Linked DNA regions of Xenopus tropicalis. The protein of the gene in region 1 binds, or shares a complex with, the protein of each later gene. Links are inferred from orthologs where the notes say so. Each region holds a gene or a part of one and is shown on either strand. Other genes may lie near its edges.

The links. Proteins that work in one complex are often made in the same cells at the same time.
Region 2: the proteins of kcnq1 (region 1) and kcne3 are in contact, whole or in part, in a cryo-EM structure (PDB 6V01), measured with the Homo sapiens proteins. The link is inferred for Xenopus tropicalis from reciprocal best matches to the Homo sapiens genes KCNQ1 and KCNE3. Residues at the interface, in NP_000209.2 of Homo sapiens: Arg116, Pro117, Thr118, Gly119, Trp120, Cys122, Phe123, His126, Phe127, Phe130, Leu134, Leu137, Ile138, Val141, Leu142, Ile145, Gln147, Tyr148, Arg181, Met238, Val241, Asp242, Gln244, Thr247, Lys362, Asn365, Ile368; in NP_005463.1 of Homo sapiens: Asp54, Asp55, Asn56, Ser57, Tyr58, Ile61, Met65, Phe68, Ala69, Val72, Gly73, Leu75, Ile76, Leu77, Tyr79, Thr80, Arg81, Ser82, Arg83, Val85, Lys87, Asp90.

Annotation. Positions count from the first base shown.
Region 1 is NC_030680.2:25,069,590-25,073,201, reverse strand, and holds part of kcnq1 (potassium voltage-gated channel subfamily KQT member 1), read right to left. Parts: intron 2,738-3,612; coding exon 2,617-2,737; intron 1,865-2,616; coding exon 1,789-1,864; intron 1,341-1,788; coding exon 1,246-1,340; intron 1-1,245. UniProt on the Homo sapiens protein: Pore-forming subunit of the voltage-gated potassium (Kv) channel involved in the regulation of cardiomyocyte excitability and important in normal development and functions of myocardium, inner ear, stomach and colon.
Region 2 is NC_030678.2:176,822,621-176,826,924, reverse strand, and holds the start of kcne3 (potassium voltage-gated channel subfamily E member 3), read left to right. Parts: upstream 1-1,450; 5' UTR 1,451-1,743; intron 1,744-4,304. UniProt on the Homo sapiens protein: Ancillary protein that functions as a regulatory subunit of the voltage-gated potassium (Kv) channel complex composed of pore-forming and potassium-conducting alpha subunits and of regulatory beta subunits.

The DNA.
Region 1 (3,612 bases):
AAGAAACCATAGTGTCACATGAAAATACTGCACATTTATAGTCCTTTTACCCTGTATGACAGTACAGGTATGGGATCCCTTATCCGGAAACCCGGTATCCAGAAAGCTCCGAATTACGGAATGCCCGTCTCCCATAGACTCCATTTTAATCAAATAATTCAGAATATTAAAACTGATTTCCCTTTTCTCTGTAATAATAAAACAGTACCTGTACTTGATCCCAACTAAGATATAATTACCCCTTATTGGGGCAGAACAGCCCTATTGGGTTTATTTCATGGTTAAATGATTCCCTTTTCTCTGTAATAATAAAACAGTACCTGTACTTGATCCCAACTAAGATATAATTACCCCTTATTGGGGGCAGAACAGTCCTATTGGGTTTATTTCATGGTTAAATGATTCCCTTTTCTCTGTAATAATAAAACAGTACCTGTACTTGATCCCAACTAAGATATAATTACCCCTTATTGGGGGCAGAACAGCCCTATTGGGTTTATTTCATGGTTAAATGATTCCCTTTTCTCTGTAATAATAAAACAGTACCTGTACTTGATCCCAACTAAGATATAATTACCCCTTATTGGGGGCAGAACAGCACTATTGGGTTTATTTAATGGTTAAATGATTCCCTTTTCTCTGTAATAATAAAACAGTACCTGTAATTGACCCCAACTAAGATATAAATAATCCTTATTGGAGGCAAAACAATCCTATTGGGTTTAATTAATGTTTTATTGATTCTTTAGTAGACTTAAGGTATGAAGATCCAAATTACAGAAAGACCCCTTATCCGGAATACCCTTGGTCCTGAGCATTCTGGATAATGGGTCCTATACCTGTATTATAATCAGCCACAGAAGTGAATACAAATGGAGCAGAGTTCTGCGAAAGCTGCACTGGTGTGTAAGTTCTACTGTGCCTCAGTTACATGAGATAGGAAAGGTAATTCGCTTGGAACACTTGCCTTGGCTGAATTTAGGGAGACAATTGCTGGCAATCCTGGTCCCAACATGTGCCAATATAAGAACTGGTCTTGTTTTACCCTAAATTTTTATGAGTCTCTACATCCAGTGAGTGTCTGTAGACTGCTCTCACCATTAAAGACTTCATGGCTCCTTTGCACTTATTTGCACTTGGGACTTTACACTTAACGTTTAGGATGACAGCGCTGTTTAATGTAGCCGGGGGGGGGAGGAACTGAGAAACATGAAAAAATCCAAAAGATGGATTCTGGTTTAGAACCTTCTCTGAAGTTCCTTGATTCTGACCATCAAGTTAAGGTGACCTTGTGAATACTGCTCAATAACATCACGCACGTCGTAGGGTTTTCTCGCTTGCTGCAAAAAAACAAAAGGGATTTCATAAGATTACGGTCTTCATCAATACTCTGATAAAATTAAATGCAATTATGGGTGATTCTGCAGCAGTTTATAGAAACCTTTCTAGGGTTGGGACACCCTAGCTCAGAAACACTGAAGTGAACATAGAAGTATAGGCCTGTCACTGGCCATAAGTGCCATAGGCGAAGTTGTGATAAAGGCTGTTTTGACCAGAGGTGGTGGGACTAGGTATCTGCCTCCATTTAAACAGATCAACACACATTTGTGAGCACAGTAGAGAATATTGTGTCTGTGCTTAGGTGCAGCCCAATGTGACATCAAGGTAAAGTTTGTCCCATCTGTATTTATAGTACTTACAAACCAGTGAAAGTGCAACTGGGAGCCCATAACTCATCTAACATAATCACCTCTTGAACATAACACTATAAGTTTTGACCCAACACACCTGGAATTTTTTCTTTGCAACAAAGTACTGCATTCGTCGGATGACTTTTATTGCGGCACGATGATGTTCTTTTAGCCTGTGAAAAAGAATAGGGTTTTTAAAGCATATATTGTGTGTTTCCTTTCGTAGACCTCTGTACCTTCATTTTTTACTTCTATATTATTTCCCTGTGGATATTGAGAAGAACAACCCTTTAGGCTTTATCATAACCTGTACAAAGATAGTTACATCGTTACAAAGGGTTGAAAAAAAGACCATCAAGAGTCCATCAATTTCAACCCTTGCAAGTAAACCTACCAATAACTTACCAATCTATACTATAAGATGCCCCCTTCAAGTCAAATGTGCAATAGTATATTCTGTTATGGATAATGGGCACTATTATTAGCCTGCCATAACCCACATTGGAGGTCTTAGGTTATGTGCAGGTTTGCCTTCCTATGTATTAAGCATTGTAAATGGTAGCAATCATTGGTAATGCCTCATGTGCAAAACTAGAGGTGTGTACATAAAAGCAAATAATTCATCCTAAGCATACAAATACAACATGGTTAAGGGACATGGCTGGATAGAGGGCCGGATATTAAGAATCTGATTATGTGGGAAAAGGGAAAGATAAGGGGGGTGCCTGGAGACAAATTTTGAATATTAGTTGAATAATAGTTATACCACCAGTTAATACAATAAGTAAAAGAATCTGCAACTGATATCCATTTTTTATTTGCCCAGTATATTTCACCCTTAAAACATAACCCGCAGCAGCTCCATGCACTAAAGTTTCTCAAATACGTGTTCCTGTATTTTGTACAAAATGAATGCAGTACTTACTCTGAGATGTGAGTAATTGGGGTGAGGAGAGTGTCCCCTTCCATGTCCAGGTCATCTGTGAAACTGCTTGTTCTGATAAAAGGTCCAGTGCCGGGGTCTAAGAATCCAAAGGGTTTTCTTACTGTAGAATTTCAAAAATATACGGCGGTTATACCTCAAAATATAGGATTGTACCCTCAAATTTTCTTTGTGCGTCACTGCAGGGTTCCCCACCAGTTATTTAGCTGTAAGCCCCACTCCTATTGTCCATCCAAAATGCTATTCCAAGTGGGGCTTATAGTGGCAACAAGCCAAACAAATCAGCCCAGACTTCCCTTGCCAATGTTGCCACCAGGCTCAGAATTAGGCATAGGCAGCAAAGGCACATGCCTAGGGTGCAACTGTAGGGGGGGCAAACCTCAACTGCCCCTAACTCTGGCCATTCACATCCAGAGGTGGAGGTGGACCAGCAAGAAGTCAATGTATTGCAGTGGGGTTGGTGGTGAGTGGAGGTGGAAGGTGGCAAGTAGGAGGTCAGGGGATTGCTTAGGGCACCCTGTTGGCCCCTCTCTGGTTGCCACAACTTTATCCAAAACAAAGTGCTTTTAAGATTGATGTTTTTCCTCATAATACAACAAGCTGAGTTCTGAATTCAACACAAGAATGAAAAATGTACCAGGGGTATCAAATGAGGACTATCATTAGCTATTTGGTAGCCCCTATGTGATCTGGAAGCCTACACAAGGCTCTGTTTGGCAACCAAAACCTGACTCCAAGCCAAGCCATACAAGAGGGTTGGTAAGCAAGCCCCTAATAAAGCACTGGTTGGGGCCTAGAGCATTGGGTACCTGCTGTACACCTTCATTCCACAACCCTCTTTTGTTTTATTGTATGTTGGTAGGTCTGAAGAACACTCCAACCTGTGGCAGGTTGCCCCCAGCCAATCAGGGATGTGCTTGATGTGAAATAGTCAAGTCAGTGTTTTGTTTCTGGTTGGGTCCATGGGAACACTGATCC
Region 2 (4,304 bases), on another chromosome or scaffold:
GGGGAGCCCCCCCAATACCCCTCACGCTGCCCCTGCACTGACTGTTATACAAAGTGGGCTAAAGGTACCGACCCCCCCAGAACTCTTTCATAGCGGAAATTCCACTTTGTGCTGGAGGTGAAACAGCATTTATTATTGTGGGATCCGAATGGACTCGCAGACACCCGACACCCCCGGCAGGAAATGAGCGCGAGGCCTAATTGCCCCTCCATTCGGGGGGGGGGAATAACAGTTTAGGGAAGGGAATTTTGCTAAAAGTAGAAATTTTCATTGAATGCAGGAACAGTCTGTTTATAATCAGCAGATTTCCAGAGGAATCCAATACACGGGCTGTTCAGCAGCTTTACTGTCGTCTTCATTGTTTCAGGAGTCGGAACCAGCAGTGCACATCGACAGCCAGGCAGATACTAGTTTTAATAGTAAACTGAAATTCTTTTTCATTATTCTAGAAGCAGTTTTTAGTTCAGCTTTAAAGCAAATAAATACACAATAATGCAATGCGGTGAGCAAAGCGCAATTTCTGGATACAAATACGCATTTTTTTTAACCCTTAATGCAGCAGTTTCCCCACATTGTGGTGGATCATTGGTCAATAATTCAAAATGAGCGCATCTGTGTGTTTGCAAATAAGGTGCCAATTGAGTGGCGTTAAATTGTATTAATGTGATTCCGGTGGTGCAAATTGGCTACATCTGTCAGCGCCACCTGCTGGGGGAACCCTGGAATTGCAGCTCCGAGCTCCCCAGCATCTGTATTAAAGGGCAAGTAATGCCAGATTTGCATCTATTTTAGCCCAGTGCACATGGAGTTGTGTTACCAAGCGACCTTACCCCTCTGATATAGGCAAAGGGCACGACTTACTGCATGGCCAGTGTATGGGTGGGAAGAGGGTGCCCCCCAATATGTCCCTATGTACAAGGCTTTAGTGCCCAAGGAGCCCTATACTTACCCTCTGCCAGGGTATGTATGTATGTATATCTTTATAGTGCACTTGTGTCAGCTACAGAACACAGTTTGCCCTGGGCACTGCTAGTGGTACAACTGCTCCCTGTATGTGCCCCAGGGGCAACACTCCATACTGTAACCAACAGTAAATGAGCCCCATGGAATATACAGGAAAGCAAGTTGCTTGGAACTGTGTATAATGGGTAAGTGCTTGGGGCATGGATTGGCAGAGGTGCTACTGCCCCCTGGTGTTGAGGGTGGGAAGTAGAGGCAGCTGTGTAACTTATACAAGTGCCAAGGGGACAAGCAGGGAGGGATACTTGCCCTTTACACTCCCAGGAAAGCCACAGACAGGGGCAAGGGGTTGATCACCATCTGGCATTGGCATAGGAACACTGCAAATGGGTGTGTGGGGGGGTAAATATGTTGGGCACAGAAGGGTTTCAAAGCTACAGGCACCGGATTTTGGGAGAAGACTTGAGAAAGGAGGAGGGCCAGGGAGGAAGGAGGGGCAAGGCGAGGAACTGAATGGAGGAGGAGAAGCCAGAGCTGGGGGCAGTGTCAGATACACACAGAGTAGCAGGTGGTAGAGTCTGCTCCGCACACTGAGTGGCATCTGAGAAACTGGCAGCTAGGTGCCACTGAAGAGACCCCCCCCCCCCTTACACCCACAAGAAAAGAGAATTCCAGGGTTCTGACCTGCAGCTCAGCCAATAGACAGAGGATTTTACCTCCAGGGGAGAATTTAGTTTGGTTGGAGACTGGCATCCCTGTGGCACCGCGGCGCCCCCCCCGGAGGTAAGAGCATGGAGAAGAAAGGGTTAACAGTTCTTGGGTGATCCCAGTATATATATATATACATACAGAGTGGACTGTCAGCTCTGTTCCATTGCCTATTCCCCAACACAGACTGGGGGCACTGTCCCATTGCGGCCAATCAGAGAGACCGGCCAGAGTGCCCCAGACTGGCACTAAAGCCAAATGCCCCCCAATACTGTTGTGCAACTGCATCTCCCAAGCCCAGCAAGTAGCTCACACTAATTAGCTGTTTGGGTAGGAATGTCATACTTCCCCTTTAAAGTTTGTCCCATTTACAGAAAATGTCAAATGATGATAAATATTTAATAAAAAACAGGAGAAACAAACTGGTGAAATACTTTGCAGACATCAGCTTGTAATAATGTTAGTGATTCTGCCATATTTACCTTGGTGGTGCCCCCCCCCAGCCTGGCACTGTAGCCACTAAAGGGGTTTCCATGCCAGTTGCAATGAAATAGGGAAGGTCCCTTTAAATTAACTCTTAGTGTGCTGCAGGCAAGTGCTGTGTTTGTGGGTTTCTCTTCTATTCTGAATGTTTAGACTGTGTCACACAGTCTAAAAAAATCAATCAGAGGATTTTGGTTGCCAGGGTTGTTGTCCTTAACAACCAGAGAGGAAAGTAATTAGAGTGGAGAGGCAGAACAGGAAGGCAAATTGGTGCTGGGGGTGAGATAAGATGAGGATTAAGTGCAACAGGCTGAAAGCAGTTTGGCCAATGGTCTGGGCATGTGTGGTACCCCGGGGGGCAGATTGGCCAGTGGTCTGGGCATGTGTGGTACCCCCGGGGGGCAGATTGGCCAATGGTCTGGGCATGTGTGGTACCCCGGGGGGGCAGATTGGCCAATGGTCTGGGCATGTGTGGTACCCCGGGGGGGCAGATTGGCCAACTGTCTGGGCATGTGTGGTACCCCGGGGGGGGGGCAATTTGGCCAATGGTCTGGCATGTGTGGTACCCTGGAGGCAGTTTGGCCAATGGTCTGGGCATGTGTGGTACCCTGGAGGCAGTTTGGCCAATGGTCTGGGCATGTGTGGTACCCCCGGGGGGCAGATTGGCCAATGGTCTGGCATGTGTGGTACCCCGGGGGGGGCAGTTTGGCCAATGGTCTGGCATGTGTGGTACCCTGGGGGGGCAGATTGGCCAATGGTCTGGGCATGTGTGGTACCCCAGGGGGGCAGTTTGGCCAATGGTCTGGGCATGTGTGGTACCCTGGGGGCAGTTTGGCCAATGGTCTGGGCATGTGTGGTACCCCAGGGGGGCAGTTTGGCCAATGGTCTGGGCATGTGTGGTACCCTGGGGGCAGTTTGGCCAATGGTCTGGGCATGTGTGGTACCCCGGGGGGGCAGTTTGGGCCAACAGAACAAGATGTGGCTCACAATACCTGTTGGCCCGTGGGCCAGTCAGTAGGAGACCTGGGCAGTTGATATTCCCGTGCCGGGGGATTATTACGGCCAATCATTACGCGCTCAGATTCTATTCTTGGTCGATTTCTCTCGGAGGATAAAACACTTGCATGGGGGGGGGGGGCAGAAATAGCAAGGTCAGCTTCCCTGCCAAGCATTGCACCCTTGGAATCTGCCCCCCCCCCCCCGCCGGCGCTGATTGAAATATGCGAAGGACGCAGTTGCCTTATTATTTCCAGACTGGCAGCTCAGCTGTATATTTATATAGGGGCTAATAGGGAAGGGCCCCCCCAAATTCCACAGAAAAACACCGGGGAGTTTGTTTTTGTTCTTGGGGTGAGAGCTGGCGGGGGCTACCAGGAACCGGTGGTACTGGGGGGATTAAACTGTCAGATCTGTTAGGCAGAGGGGGCACTGATGTGTTACCCCCCTCCCTCCCCTGCATTCCTGCCCCCCCCATACAGCAATCATTGGTACCTCCCTGTACTTAGGGCATCACTGCTGTGTCCCCCCCCATACAGCAATCATTGGTACCTCCCTGTACTTAGGGCATCACTGCTGTGTCCCCCCCCATACAGCAATCATTGGTACCTCCCTGTACTTAGGGCATCACTGCTGTGTCCCCCCCCCCCCATAACTCCTCTGACACCTGCTAAACATCAGGAATTGCTATGAACTGAATGAACTGTATATAGAGTATCGGTATTACTGGGTTAGTACCTGAGCGGCCCATTCTCTCTCTTCCAAACCTCTCTATAAACTGATTAAAAGGAAGGAAAAGAAACCAGTTCTGCCTCCCCTTCCTATGCTGATGGTGAGATCCCCTTTCCTCCCCACCCCCAATGTATCACTCATTCCCCCTCTCTTGGTAGGGAATTCCATAACCTGACTGCCCTTACAGTAAGGAGCCCCTTCCTATGCTGATGGTGAGATCCCCTTTCTCCCCCACCACCAATGAATCACTCACTGGAAATGTTACGGAGATTTCACCATCACCATAGGAAGGGGTTCCTTACTGTAAGGGCAGTCAGGTTATGGGGTTAAGGGGATCTCACCATCAGCATAGGAAGGGGTTCCTTACTGTAAGGGCAGTCAGATTATGGGGTTAAGGGGATCTCACCATCACCATAGGAAGGGGT